Danio rerio: one gene and its partners. The protein of the gene in region 2 interacts with the protein of the main gene of each other region in a biochemical or structural test. Links are inferred from orthologs where the notes say so. Each region holds a gene or a part of one and is shown on either strand. Other genes may lie near its edges. The genes, in order: ddo, pex5, pex7 and agxtb.

Evidence for each region.
Region 1: the proteins of pex5 (region 2) and ddo form a complex in vitro, tested with the Homo sapiens proteins (2 studies listed by BioGRID, with this or other methods). The link is inferred for Danio rerio from reciprocal best matches to the Homo sapiens genes PEX5 and DDO.
Region 3: the proteins of pex5 (region 2) and pex7 form a complex in vitro, tested with the Homo sapiens proteins (3 studies listed by BioGRID). The link is inferred for Danio rerio from reciprocal best matches to the Homo sapiens genes PEX5 and PEX7.
Region 4: the proteins of pex5 (region 2) and agxtb are reported together in a solved structure, tested with the Homo sapiens proteins (2 studies listed by BioGRID and IntAct, with this or other methods). The link is inferred for Danio rerio from reciprocal best matches to the Homo sapiens genes PEX5 and AGXT.

What each region holds. Positions count from the first base shown.
Region 1 is NC_133192.1:8,094,354-8,098,368, reverse strand, and holds the start of ddo (D-aspartate oxidase), read right to left. Parts: upstream 2,806-4,015; 5' UTR 2,778-2,805; intron 1-2,777. UniProt on the Homo sapiens protein: Selectively catalyzes the oxidative deamination of acidic amino acids. Suppresses the level of D-aspartate in the brain, an amino acid that can act as an agonist for glutamate receptors. Protects the organism from the toxicity of D-amino acids.
Region 2 is NC_133191.1:12,440,918-12,444,488, forward strand, and holds part of pex5 (peroxisomal biogenesis factor 5), read right to left. Parts: intron 1,615-3,571; coding exon 1,576-1,614; intron 1,472-1,575; coding exon 1,354-1,471; intron 1,277-1,353; coding exon 1,133-1,276; intron 1-1,132.
Region 3 is NC_133195.1:42,858,431-42,862,001, forward strand, and holds part of pex7 (peroxisomal biogenesis factor 7), read right to left. Parts: intron 2,683-3,571; coding exon 2,605-2,682; intron 1,462-2,604; coding exon 1,353-1,461; intron 1-1,352. UniProt on the Homo sapiens protein: Receptor required for the peroxisomal import of proteins containing a C-terminal PTS2-type peroxisomal targeting signal. Specifically binds to cargo proteins containing a PTS2 peroxisomal targeting signal in the cytosol.
Region 4 is NC_133177.1:26,013,934-26,018,134, reverse strand, and holds the start of agxtb (alanine--glyoxylate and serine--pyruvate aminotransferase b), read left to right. Parts: upstream 1-1,400; 5' UTR 1,401-1,408; coding exon 1,409-1,663; intron 1,664-2,869; coding exon 2,870-3,062; intron 3,063-3,149; coding exon 3,150-3,214; intron 3,215-3,339; coding exon 3,340-3,440; intron 3,441-4,201. UniProt on the Homo sapiens protein: Peroxisomal aminotransferase that catalyzes the transamination of glyoxylate to glycine and contributes to the glyoxylate detoxification.

The DNA of each region.
Region 1 (4,015 bases), on a different chromosome or scaffold from region 2:
ATAAGTGTTTTTGCAAATTTAAGTGGATTAAACATAAAAGAAGTTATCATAGAGTGAAATAAAGCAGCTGTATTCTACAGCATTCTGTAGTGCATTTAGTCATTGCCCAGCAGGCACACAATGTCATAAGACGTTAATATTAGGTTAGATTTAGGTTGTGATGTCAGGTGACCAAAATTCAATGTCTAGCCAGCGTCTAAGAACAATATTTTGATGGCCAATAATGACGTCAAATGACGCTGATATTTGGTTGATTTTAGGTTGTTAGAAAGTGATTTGTTAGAACACTCTCATCAGTGTCATGCATTTAAACAGTCTCTGGGTCAATGCGTGTAAATATTTTGGACATCTTCTTGGACATTTTTAATGCTTCCAAACAGTTTGCTGCAATTTTAAATTGCATGTCTTGAGGTAGTTCATTATAATGCGATATATCTTCTGTGTTACTAACATGAACTAATTATGAATAATACTCACAGCATTTATTAGTCATATTCCATTAAATACTAATGCATTTTTAACATCCAAATTCATGCTTGCTAACATTAGTTAATGCAGCGTGGGTTAAAATCCAGACATCCATTTTACATTCTGCAGCCCAGCATTACTGTAAAGATTTCATTGTGTATTGGTAAGCATTTAATCAGCCCGTTTTACCTAGAGGAAAAATGGATTATGCAACGTGCAAAAGGCATTATACAACTAAGAGAACATTTACACAACGTTCTGTTATTATTCAACATTTTGTTTTGGGTGCTTGAAAAAAAAAAGGTTGAATTCTAAAAACGTTGTGTAAACGTTTCCTCTCCAGTTGTATAATGCCTTTAGCATGTTGCGCAATCCATTTTTCCCACTATGTAAAAAATGAAAGACCAAAACACACAAAAGGCTTTTAGTTTTTAGTTGGAAATAGTGTAAGCGTACACACTTCAAGTAGTTTTTTTTTTTTTTTTTTTAAACAGGCTTTACCAATGAGTCAATATGCTAATGTTTAATTTAATCAAAACTCATTCGATAAACATTGAAAACGTTTGAATGTTATTTATAAACTATAATTGTAGAAGTATTTTGAAAGTAGGCTGATCGAATATTCATAAAATATTAACAAAATATGAATCGAGCATTTGCAATACTATAGGTTCAATTTCGGAACGGTTGCTCGCTGAAGCTAAGCAGGGCTGAGCCTGGTCAGTGCCTGGATGGGAGACCACATGGGAAAGCTAGGTTACTGCTGGAATTGCTGTTAGTGAGGTCAGCAGGGGGCGCTCAACCTCCCGTCTGTGTGAGTCCTAATGCCCCAGTAAAGGGTAAAGTCTAGATCGAATATGCGGCCGGCCGGAAGTGCGATATGCACATTAATAAAGCAGCATTTTTTTATGACACTGTATAACAATAATTAATATTTTTACAGTACTGTGAGGGTGGGGTTTAGGGTTGGGGTTGGGGTAGGCGTTAAAAAATACATTTTATTGGGTAATTTAATAGATAACACAACTAATACTCGGTAAACTAAAGTTTTTACAATACTGTGACGGTTGGGTTTAGGGTTGGGGTGGGGGTAGACGTTAATAAAATACAACAAATGAAAAATGTAATAAATAATAGAAATAATTCACGTTAACTTCCGGCCGCAAACGTATCCGCTCTAGCAACAACCCCAGTAAAGTGAAGGGGACACTACACTGTCAGTAAGCGCCGTCTTTCTCTGCGGTCATTAAAAATCCCATGGCACTTCTCGTAAGAATAGGGGTGTAACCCAGGTGTCCTGGCCAAATTCCCTTCATTGGCCCTTATTGATCATGGCCTCTCAATCATCCCCATCCACCGAATTGCGTCGCCACAGCAGAATGAACCGCCAACTTATCAAGAATATGTTTTACACAGCGGATGCCCTTTTATGCCACAACCCATCACTGGGAAACATCCATACTTACCCGTTCATACACATACACTACGGACATTTTAGCTCACCCAATTCACCTATAGTGCATTCGTTTGGGCTGTGGGGAAAAACGGAGCACCCGGAGGAAACCCACGCCAACACGGGGAGAACATGCAAACTCCACACAGAAATGCCAACTGACCCGGACGAGGCTCGAATCAGTGACCTTCTTGCTGTGAGGCAATCATGCCACCCACTGTGCCACCATGATGCCCTTGTAAATAATCTAATAATTATTTTTGTAAATGGTGTGTATCAAATGTATCTTTGTCATAGAATAAAAGTATTTAAAAAAACTGACCTACAAAAATTAGATGACAAACAAAATAATTTCCCTTTCACACAATACAGACATTCACAAGCAGACCATAAAAATGTGCCAATAAAGTCAATAAACAACAGACTGAAGTGTCCTTATCTGACCGTTAATTATGGGTTACTTATTATGTGTTTCTGGGTTATCACAATAATAAAAAAAAATCATAATTTCTTAAAAAGTAATAATAGTAATAATAAATTTATTAACATTTATAATAATAAAACAATTGGAAAGTTTGCCTGAATCTAATAAAGTGCGAAGAACGAAGTGAATAAACCTATAAATAATCAAAAATAAAATGTATTCCTTCAATACATATTAATTCATATCCATATTTAAAACGTTGTACAAATATTTAGTGTATTTCGTGTTACTGTAGTAAAAGTACTTGTCGCAATAACAAGATACAACACAAATACAGTAACTTATTAACTTGGGGATATATTATTGCAGCCTATTTCAAATACTTTGAATGAGAATGTAAAAGCAGGTGCAAAGTATATGTCACACTCTTACCTTGAGTCTGTCGAGTCGAGACCTGCAGGATCAAACACAAAGCTCTTCTCTCTGTGGGTGAAATATTATCAGTCACACTGCAGCGCGAGGACTGTTATGTCTGTCCTGTTTAAAAGGCATCATGGGAAATGGAGTTTTCGCAGGGGTTTTCTGTTATTTTGAAGGGTTACAGCATTTTACAATCTATTACACCACGTATGGACGTATTTTAAATAATTGTTAATTTAGCGGACATCAAACATACTGCTACCAGGACAACATTGTCTATTTATAGTTATTCAATTCTGTGTCATTTAAATGAGCGCTCTATTGTGGTGCATTGCTGTACTTAGCCAGCACGATTATGGCGCTGTTTGAGCTGCTCCTACAGGGGGCGCTTGGAGGATCAAAAAATGTGTATTTTATTATATAAACGCTTTAATTTTGTTATTAGAAATATACAAATCACATACGTAATAATAATACTTTTAAAAATTTCTAATTTTTACTCAAATTTTGAGTAATATTTACAACAAGTGCTTTTGCTCTACTTGCACTACATTTTTAGACAAGTAATGATACTTTTACCTAAGTATAATTCTTATTTACTTTTCCCACAACTGTTTGTCTTTGATGGGAATAATACAAATTGTTAAGAGGTAGTTAATAGTTTTCAATGTTTGATTTCAAATAATTGCCAGAATTTTTTATTCTTTTTTTATTGAATAAAAATATGTTATTTTTATAATGAATATTTTATCTGTTCTGTGTTTACAACTCTAAGTTACTTAATATAAAAATGCAGTAATTTCTATATATAGAGTCCCTTTATTCATCAGGGGTCACCACGGTGGAATGAACTGCCAACTTATCCAGCATATGTTTTATGTAACGGATGCCCTTCCAGCTGCAACCCATCAGTGGGAAACACCCATAAACTCTCATTCACACACATGCACTACCGACAATTTAGCTTACCCAATTCACCCCTTGTGCATGTTTTTGGACTGTGGGGGAAACCGGAGCACCCAGAAGAAACCCACACCAATATGGGAAGAACATGCAAACTCCACACAAAAATGCCAACTGACCCAGCCGAGGCGACAACTACCGATTGTGGCGCTACCCACTGTGCCACCCTATATATATATATATATATATATATATATATATATATATATATATATATTTTTTTTTTTTATTTTTTTTTTTAACAAAAATATAACACCATCTGGCGACACGGTGGCTCAGTGGTTAGC
Region 2 (3,571 bases):
GTGTCAGTCAATAAATCAATTTTTCTTCACATTTTCTGACCGATATATCAAAGAAAACCAAGCATTTTATGACATAACTAGCTACTCAGTATTTTGCTTTCATTTTCTTAGATAATCAGGTGAATCAGTATCCGTGTGGGCATTACGACCTAGGGGAGAATGTTAGTTGGCAGAGGCAGTAGCACAACACAAGTTACAGTGATCTTACTGAGGGATATTGACCACACAGTTCAGTTGCATTAAGTACAGTTATTCAGTACTCACACTCTCAGTTTCAAGTCAGTAATGCAAAACAGTTCATCTAAAGCACAGATAAAAGTTCACCTCAGATTGTTGACCTGATCTTACTACAAGCGCTCCGGTCAGTTTTCAAAAGCAGCATCTTGTTCACATATCCTGCACTTGAGTTAGCCACACCCACTTCTTTATATGTAGTGGTGTAAATGGACTAAATCAAATCTATTAGAATTGACAGTTTATTCAACAATAACTATATAAGGTTGATGTCAATTTTATTCGCCCACCTGTGAATTTGTCTTTGTTTTTAAATATTTCCCAAATTATGTGAGAGCAAAGCATTTTTCACAGTATTTGCTAAAATATTTATACTTATTTGTTTTATTTCGGCTAAAATAAAAGCAGTTTTAATTTTAAGTTATGTTATAATTTATTACGTTACAATATTATTAACCCACTTAGGCAATATTTTTTAAATTGTCTAAAGAGCAAACCATCAAATTACAATGACTTGCCCAACCTAATTACCTAGTTAAGCCTTTAAATAGTACTTTAATCTGAATACTATGATCTTGAAAAATATCTAGGAAAATATTATTTACTGTCATCATGGCAAAGACAAAGTAAATCAGTTAGTAGACATTAGCTATTAAAACTATTATGTTAAGAAATGTATTAAAAAAAAATCTTCTCTCTGTTTAACAGAAATTTGTAAAACAAAAACATAAAATAATTTAAATTTAACAGGAGACCTAATAATTCTGACCTCAACTCCTCAATATTTTCAAGCCAAAGCGAGCCAAGCTCCCACAAATTGAACAGTAACATACTGCGTTTCTGATTTTCAAATCAGAGGTGTTATGAACATTTTAAGACATTTTAAATTCATATTGACCTGCCACTTCATTGATAAATTCTCTGGTCCAGTCGGCATCGGCTGGATCAAGAGCTGCCTGTCCAGAAGAAGAGGCGGCATCAGCAGTAGACAGAAACTCTGATGCCCAGTCGCCAGACAGAGCCAGAGCTGCCACATCGGGAGCTGAGAAGTGAAAACATACAGTTATAGTGACATCAACAAGTGTTGAACTTGATGTGGATGTGTGTTTGTGCTGATACCTCTCTGTGGAGCCTGTCTGTAGTTCTGCTGATCAATCTGTTGCATCTCCTCCAGCAGTTGACCCATATCAAAACTATGAGGAGGCCGTTGTGGACCCTGCAGAAACTCACTGACCAGCTGCATTCAAAAAAGAAAACAACAGGACAGGTTGTAAGAACATGATCACAGACTATATGAGCTTATACAAGCTGATCAAGTCATTTAAAACAGATTATACAAACCTCTTCTTCAGTGGCTATTTCAATGGGAGTAGGAGGAATCTATGGGGAAAAAGGGAAAAATCCTAATCAATAATATTTTCAAGATTGCAATTAACAATTACTTAAACAATTAATCTACTGAAAAAGGATTAGATTAATCAAGTGGCTATTTTTGAATGCATATTTGGAATATTTTCTCATTGGTTGATTAATTCTTTAATTCACTTTCTAATAAATAATAATCGCAACTACTACTATTAATAAACAATACAAAAAAATGCAATACTATTAATAAAGGTTTATTTAAACAGCAGGTCTACAGACCTTGCATTTGAGAGAATGTTGTTGAATGTGAATAAAATGTATATGTAAAAATAACAAAACAAATGTAAGTCCAAACTTTTGGTTATGGGATTTGAGATTTTTGAGAAATTCTCAAAAATTAAGTCTCTCTTTTTATGAATTCCCTGCATTTTAATATATTTGTGTCAAAGATGCTTTATTTATGTTTCATTGCCATATCAGCAACATTGGCTATATTCATGACAAGACCTATACTAAATATACAACAATAACTTTTTAAACATTGCCCTTAAAATATTTCCAGTAACACTTTATAATAACTACACACTATGAATCATTTTTTAAATACAAAAAAATATCCAGTAAAATATTATTTACTGTCATCATGGCAAAGATAAAATAAATCAGTTATTAGAGATGAGTTATTAAAACTATTATGCTTAAAAATGTGTTGCAAAAATCTGCCCTCTGTCAAACAGAAAATGGGAAAAAAATAAACATGCGGTCTAAATATTCAGGGGGTCTAATAATTCTCACTTCAACTGTATATATATATATATATATATATATATATATATATATATATATATATATATATATATATATATATATATATATATTAGGCATGCCACAGTTCTCAATAAAATATTGAACCTTACGGTACGACCTCCACGGTTCAATACGCGCTTGTGAATTGCGGTTTTCTCGGTTTTGCATTTATTTCAAATATATATATATATATATATATATATATATATATATATATATATATATATATATATATATATATATATATATATATACATATATCAAATTGCATCACAATTTGTAAATAATGCAATACTAAATTTAGTAATAAACGATTAAAATGGGCGACGCAGTGGCACAGTATGTAGTGCTGGTGTCTCACAGCAAGAAGGTCACTGGGTCGCTGGTTCGGGTCAGTTGGCGTTTCTGTGTGGAGTTTGCATGTTCTCCCTGCGTTCGCATGGGTTTCCTCCGGGTGCTCCGGTTTCCCCCACAGTCCAAAGACATGCGGTACAGGTGAATTGGGTAGGCTAATTTGTCCATAGTGTATTAGTGTGTGTTAATGATTGTGTGTGGATGTTTCCCTGAAAGGGTATCCGCTGCGTAAAAACCTGCTGGATAAGTTGGCGGTTCATTCCGCTGTGGCGACCCCGGATTAATAAAGGGACTAAGCCGAAGAGAAAATGAATAAATGAATGAATGAATGAATGAACAATTAAAATGTAATTAAGTATGAAAACACAATCATTGAGCACATTTTAAATGCGCTTATAAGTCAAGAATACAGCATTTGTAGTTGAATTTATAAACTGCTTACTAACGTCTATTTAGAGTTAATACTTAACATATAAAGAATTAACTATTTGCTAATGCTTAATAGATGATTCATAGTGTGTAGTTATTATAAAGTGTTACCATATATCCTTACACAAGTCACAGGTGTTCCCCTTTCAATAAATATGAGTGTGTACGCCTTGAGTAGCTGATTCTACATCTCAGATGTACACCCTGATTATGTCTGTTTTCAAAATGGTAATCATTTCCTTAATTTACAAATGGATTCACTTCATACAATATTTTGTGTTAAAGATATGTTGGTGATTCTATTTTCCCTAAGTGTTTACTTCAGAATTTCATATAACTTTAACAAAAATAAAATGTCAACCTAAGTGAAATAATATTCCAT
Region 3 (3,571 bases), on a different chromosome or scaffold from region 2:
AGAATTGCACGTAATCATTTGCATAGATGTACAAAAGCATTTGCAACTTGTTCAAAAGAATGATAAACTGCTATTCTGATGTGCACAACTAACACCATAATGTGAAGATTGAACAGGTAGTTTTGAGAATTTTAATTCTGATCTGAGAAATGTACCAAAGCGACTAAGAAAAACTGTAACTGACTGATACAATAAGATTTACTAGTGTCAAGGATTTCAATGTTGCCAAGGACTTCACCCATATTGCACCAGCTATCAACAAAATTAGGGCTGTTGTTATTAATTATTTGAGTATTTGAGTTTTCTATTAATTCAATCAAGTAATCAGATTAACGGTATCTTTATTAAAGAGCAATACTAGACACACAAGAGAAAAAAAGACAGGCAGATTTGGTTCCTTTTTTCAATTTTGCTTTCTATTCTTATGTTGCACAGGTATATACTTTTATACATTTACATATTTTTGGCTATAATATATTTTTGTCCTGGTGCTGAGGAGCCTATAGTAATAGTAACATGTTAATATAAGCACAGGGGGGAAATGTGGAGTATGTGGCTGTATCTAAAATCAAACACTATACCCTTAAATAATGGGAAATGTGGGAAGTTTTCTTGACTGTGAATTTTCTTCTTTAACTCTGTTAATTGAGCGGTGCGGTAGCGCAGTGGGTGGCACGTTCGCCTCAAAGCAAGAAGGTCACTGGTTCGAGCCTTGGCTGGGTCAGTTCGCATTTCTGTGTAGAGTTTGCATGTTCTCCGCGTGTTCACGTGGGTTACCTCCGGGTGCTCCAGTTTCCCCCACAGTCCAAAGACGTGGTATAGATAAATTGGGTAGGCTAAATTTTCCGTAGTGTATGTGTGTGAATGAGTGCATGGGTGTGTGTCAGTGTTGGGTTGCAGCTGGAAGGGCATCCGCTGTGTAAAACATATGCTGGATAAGTTGGTGGTTCATTCCGCTGTGGTGACCCCTGATTAATAAATGGACTAAGCCGAAAAGAAAATGAATGAATGAACTCTGTTAATTGTATAATTGTTTTGTCTTCTGTTACCTTTGCTGTTTGTTTGCTTGTTTGTGTGTTTTTATTAATTTATTGGGCCTTGAGTCTAAATAATAAAGTTGATTTACTGATAATTACTCAACGAATCATTTTAGCCCTCGACAAAATGAAAATTATCTGTTTTTGCATATTTGAGTTATTTTTTATTTATGTATTTTAAGTACATACTAAGCAAAACTATCCACTGTCATTGGCACTTTTTTGACATTGCCATCTCAATCTATCAGACTACATAATATATGTGGTCTGCACCACAAAATTTCCAGAAAAAATAAATAAAAGCCATTCTCCTACCTGAGGCCGAAGCAAAGCATGCTGGGATATGAGGAGACCAGATGGTGCTGTAGATGACACCCTCATGACCCTGAAGGGAGTTCACTAACTGACACTGCACTGGATCCCACTTTGTAGAAAAACAGCACAGATATAAAATACATTCCAGTACAGTAATACATTTCTTAGATGTTCATTTCAGTCTTCTAGTTTAAAGGATATCTATAGAGTATATTGGTGTGCTCCGAAACAGTGACAAAATTTGCGCTTAGGAGATATAAGACCGAGTTAAATGTAAAGCTTGTAGTTTGTCACTTCTGTCTAAATGGATCAACGTTTTTTTCCACGTCACCTCATACTTCAGTTTCTCATCTATCTTGACCAATCAAATGCTCTATATTGTTTGACACAACTAGTCCCCTTTAAGATGCTTCTCATTTGCTTTTCATTCGATGCGCTTGAACTCAATCACCACTGGCAGAGCTGTGATAAAAACAACACACTATTGGATACTTTTTAATAAGAGGAGGGGCTACTCTATGTCCCACCCTCTCTTCATTTTTCAGTTAGGATTAGGTCAATTATCAAATAAAAGTGCACATTTGAATATACATATCTCATATCAATAGAATATACATATCGCAGCTGGTGACGGATTACATTTAATTTATGCATTGGTTGTTTATTAAAGTTTGACCAATTAGATGGGAGCCTAACTATCTTTATCTCCATCTCCACATTAGTTGCTGTTCTGCTATTGGCTGGAGCAGACTAAAAGTAAAACCAGAGCTGAAAATAAATTCTTATTGTGAGAGTTAAGACAAGAGAGAAATGACAACAGCCAATCAGAGTCAACAGACCAGCTGATTTTTTTACTCATTCATATTGTTTAAAAGACTAAATGTTTGCACCTTTCTACAGTTTTTTTATTAGCAATTTAGAATTAATTATATGTAAAAATATGTTTTACCTATTTATTTTAATATCATTAAATAAATAAAGCATTTAAAAACATTGGCAACAAAAACAGTACTTTTTTAGGGGAAATATTATATCATAAGAAACATTATTATGGGAATATTCAACAACAATATTGCATATTTTTCTAGTATATAAAGACTGTTTTCCTTTTAAATCTTCACAATTACATTTAATTTAGCATTTAAACAATGCATGATTATATGGTTAGTTAAATGCAATTATTCGCAATTAACATTTATAATATGGCAAAATTGTCTGCGTATATTCATCCTCTAAACTAAAGTCTGCTTACCACTTTGGCTGTGTGGTCCCAAGATCCTGATACTAGCAGGTTTTCAGCACGTGTTTGACTCCAGTCTACTGAATACACCTATAAAAAGAGGGGATTTGCATCAGTCCAGAGGTTCTAAAGTGCTAAAACTTTACCTTTTCACTAATATATTTCCATTTAAATATTTATTATTATTAACTCTATACTACATGTCCATACTGCTGTTTCCAGAAAAGTTCTCCCTCCACACTACACAGCTGAAAATGCAGTTCAGAAGCTAAAAGTAGCTATAGAATTAAAGCACAAAATTTTAGCCATAATTCAATTATTTAAATAACACTACAATCACATTTGCTATAAGAAAAAATATATTAAACTGTGTTATAAAATACAAAAATTTCAATACCAGATACAATATTAAAAATAAGGACAGATTCAATAAGTGATTTATATATGACAATCAAAATGTCCTTCTCAATATAAAAACTTCTCAGTTTTCTTAACAGACTCAACAATTGCTGAGCCTTTTCAAAAACATTCTCGGCGAGTTTATCAAAAGAGAATTGAAAGTCAATCCCCACACCTAAATATTTAAAAGAACTCACCTGTTTAGCTTCCTCCCCGTTAATTTTGTTTGTAACACATTTCTTTCATCTTACTAATATTAAGCTGCAAGGAACTCTCTGTTGTCCAACTTGTTACATAATTGACAAAATGTAAATAATCATCCAATAACTGAGTATACTTTACACATCCCACCAAAGCCATATCATCAGCAAACTTGCTAAGTGTCAGTTTTTCATTGTCACAAGATATATCGTTTATATAAATAAAAAACTAAATTGGTGATAAAACACATGCTTGAGAAAGGCCAGTATTTAACACCATTCTCTGACTTTATACTCTTAGCCAATACATGCTGTGGTCTGGATAGTTCCTGATCCTTTAAAGTCTTTCCAAACATGTCTGAATTTTTTCTGTTGAACAC
Region 4 (4,201 bases), on a different chromosome or scaffold from region 2:
ACACATTTGTTGTCAAATACACAACTACTGTTTAACTACTGCCAAGAAGCTACTGCTACTGTTTTTTTGGGGGGAAAACCTTCTACATGTAAACTGTGGCTTGGGGAAATTACATGTTACATTTGGAGTGAATTAGATACTATTTGGAAAAATAACTTTAACAGTTTGACAAAATTTGGAATCCTTTTATTCGTTACCTTAAAAAAACCTCTCATAATAATGCATCATTTCTGTAATGTTTTAATTTGCTTTGTCATCATACTCTGTTGTTCACATAGGTCTTTGTAACAAGTTTGCTTGTTATGTGGGTGTTTTTTAATTTATTTTCTTATTTCCTTTTGCTGAAGACAAAATATGTAAACAAAATTCTTTTCTTTCCGAATCTGTGTCTTAAATAAAACTTATTTGACGAAAAAGAAATTTACGTTAACAAGCAGTAACACCTAATAAAGTGGCTGGTGAGTGTAATCCTGCACTGTATGATAAAAAATTTACATTTAAATAATGTGCATTTAGCTACCAGACACACTTGCCTAGAATCTATTAAAATTAATCAACATAAATTATTCATACGTAACCGTGAACAAATGTCTATTTATCGTTTGATAGCTGATCTTAAAAATGACTAAATTGCTAACGGACATAAGAGAATTCAGATGGATATGCACATTAGCCATGTCTACTCCAATAGAGCTACTGCCATGTGCTGCACAGACCAATGAAATGTCAGCTGGATACATTACCGTGTGCATGTCAGTTTGTTCACGTCAACCAATCAACTGTGTTGAGAAGTGCACACTCCTCCACTGAGCTCGTAATCAAGTGAAGAATAAATCGATCAATACAGCACCTGCCTGTACACAAGGATGTAAACAAAATCACACTTTTTGTCTATTTGACATGTTTAGGGCTAAAAGGAAAAGATATGAGCGATTAAGCACGTATGTCCTTTCAAAAATATTATTAAATATGAATACACAATTTCCTTTCACGATAGCATTTTCTAGTGGAGTGCAACGCATTTTCTTCTTCCAGCACTGAGATGTTGAGCTCTGTGAAAAAGCTCAGATAAACACGTGTGCTCTGTTTGTTTTTGTCAGGAGGGCATGAGTTATAAGATTGACTTCTAGACTAGAGGACGAAAATAGGAAAACGTATAGCTGACATAAAACATGATGTACAGGAACTTAGATAGCACACAGTTGCTGTAGCTGTTGTTATGCTGTTAATAACATGTATGCACTTCTGGACCGCTATACCTAGTTTGGAAGATGAAGGGAGGAGAAGTTTTGCGCCAAAAGCGTGACGCATGTCGGTGTGTGAACCGGGGGTCAAAGACCTGTTTATTTAAAATGTTGGAGAAACGCAGAGTTTTATCCTTCAGTCGAACAGCAGAGCGAGAGGAATCATGATGCCGAGGACTGTCCTGTCCAGGTGCGCGCGCCTGACGCAGCAGGTGCCGCTGGAAAGCGCGCTCTCCGGCAAACAAAGTGTTCAGCGTGGGATGTCGTCTCTCAGCGTCCCTCCACCGGCCTGCATGCTCCGGCCGCTCGAGGCTCCGTTGCGGTACTTGTTTGGACCAGGACCATCCAATGTGCCGCCTCGTGTTTTGGCGGCAGGAGGGAGACCTATAATAGGTCACATGCACTCGGAAATGTTCGGGGTAAATCTCACACTTTAGTTTGACGCAACGACGCCTTTAATTGTTTTAGATGGACTGATGGAAAGGAAAATTAGTTAAACACAAAAGGCTTCAAAGTCAGCAGAAATGTAGCCTTATACACGTAACTGAAAAAAATCGTTTACTTGGTTTATTTTTAATAAATGTTATTAATAACAAAAAAAATGCAAGGTTGTTTTTTAAATAGGCCTTTTAAATAGGCTACTCTAAATACCAATAGATATGTAGATATAAATATCTCTGAATACGATACTCTTATACATTATACTTGTTATAAAACAACAACAAATAATGTTCAAAATTCATATTCAAATATGCACATTCATATTGAGTCTTTTTAATTTAATACTTTTTGTTTAATTTTTCAAGAAATATATTTTAGGCTGAAAATATAGTTAAATACATATGTTTTTGATTAAAACCTCAAATAAGAAATATTTGTTGACCATTGTAAAATGTTAAGGTTACTCACAAAGGCCAGTGCATGTGTATTAAACAGAAACTCAATATGCTTTGTGCTTTCATGGACTTAAAAACATATCAAGGCAAATTATTTATATTTTAGAGTTGAAACCATTAACCTACATGAAAAAAAATGGATAAATGAAAATGTTATGGGAACTGAAGTTTTGAACAAAGCTTTATCTTTTTGTTTTTAAACACAAAGAGAATTTTAATTAATTGACTTTCTACAACAAGACAAATATGCTTTGTGCCAGGATATATAAAATTGTTCTCATGGAAATTGAACATGTTGTTTGAAGCAATTTATTTATTTTTCATTGGGTCAAGTGATACAATTGAGATGTGAACCATTACTCTATTTAAAAAAAAAAAAAAAAAAAAAAACAGTATATTTAGAAATAGTTTCAATATTTACTAAAAAAAATCTAAAGGTGTATTTGCTAACTTTAATGCACTGTGAATTAATAATTTTATTTAAAGTTCATGTTAATTCATGCATTTTCTATTGTTAATAAATTAGCAATATTGTAAAAATTATCAAATAAAAATGTTTTTGAGATATTTTCAAATTTAAGAATGTAAGTCTGTAAAAGAGATCCACTCTTTCAGCTTCACAACCTTAAAATGTTTTACTTTTGATTGAATCAGTAAAGATCAAAATCAAGTGATTAAAATGTATTGTGGACATTATGTTTGAAAGCCAATGCTGAAATTTTGTTGCAGATTATGAATGAGATCAAGCAGGGAATTCAGTATGCTTTTCAGACCAATAACAGCATGACTCTGGCCATGAGTGGCTCTGGCCACACAGCAATGGAGTGTGCAGTGTTCAACATCGTGGAGCCCGGAGAAAGCGTTTTGGTTGCAGTTAATGGAATCTGGGGGGAACGAGTCGCAGAAATTGCAGAGCGCATGGGTATGAACAATAATAACTTCAGTCCACTGTTCTGTAAAAATTCATCATAATCTGTTGATAAGACCACACTTGCCTTTCTTACAACAGGTGCAAAGGTTCACACATTGGCAAAAGCACCAGGAGGACATTTCACAAATGCAGAAATTGAACAGGTAAAACTGTGCTTCATTTAAATGTGATGTTAAGACAAATTTCCTTTGCATATTTTGTCTTTTACAAACCCTAAAAGTTACTGTATATGACTGGATCAACAAACCTAACATTCATCTTTCTACAGGCTCTGGCCAAACATAAGCCAGTTCTCTTCTTTCTCACACATGGAGAGTCATCAGCTGGTTTGGTGCACCCAATGGACGGAATTGGAGATGTGTGTCGCAAGTAAGAATATCATACAATCATTTAGCTTACTGGGTGACTTCTAATGGAAAATCAATTAAATGCTTCCCTTTTGGGGTCTTGTATGAAAAAATCATGAATAAGTGTTTTTTTGCATGCGCAAATCTCAGATTGATGTACAGAATTAAATCAATATTTGAAGTTGAGTTGCTATACGTATTAACCCCGTTATTAGCAACACCGGTTGCCATTTGGTAAACTGCACCAAGGAACTTATGGCCCAATTCCACTGAGTGGTTCGATACGCTTTTACAGTATGGCCGTTTCCATGGTCAAAAGGTACCCAAAAGTGAACCGTACCGTACCACTTTTTGGGTACCATTTGCAAAGGGTATCTAGCACGGCAAAAGGGTACCAAAAGGCAGAGCTAGCCGCGCAGCTGAACACTATTGATTTACAGAGAAACGTCACTAGCAGTAAAATGAAAACAAAAAGAAAAAAAATTGCCATTTTTAAATATACAGCCGAGACATTACACTGTAATACTATACATGTATAATAACGAGCCATGGTCGACCCAAGCTCAAACAAACCTTGTAGTCGTCTTGATGGACAGCCACAAAGCCAAGAAGAACAAAATCTTCCCTGTCCTGTTTTTGTTTTTAAAAGTGCGTCTAAAAGTGCGAGCGGTTTTACTTTCTTCAGAGAGCTCGTATGCGTGTCTATATTTGAAATAAACTTTGAGCTGATGATAGTAACGTGTGCATGATTATTGAAGTGCTTTTGACATCCCATCCTTTCAT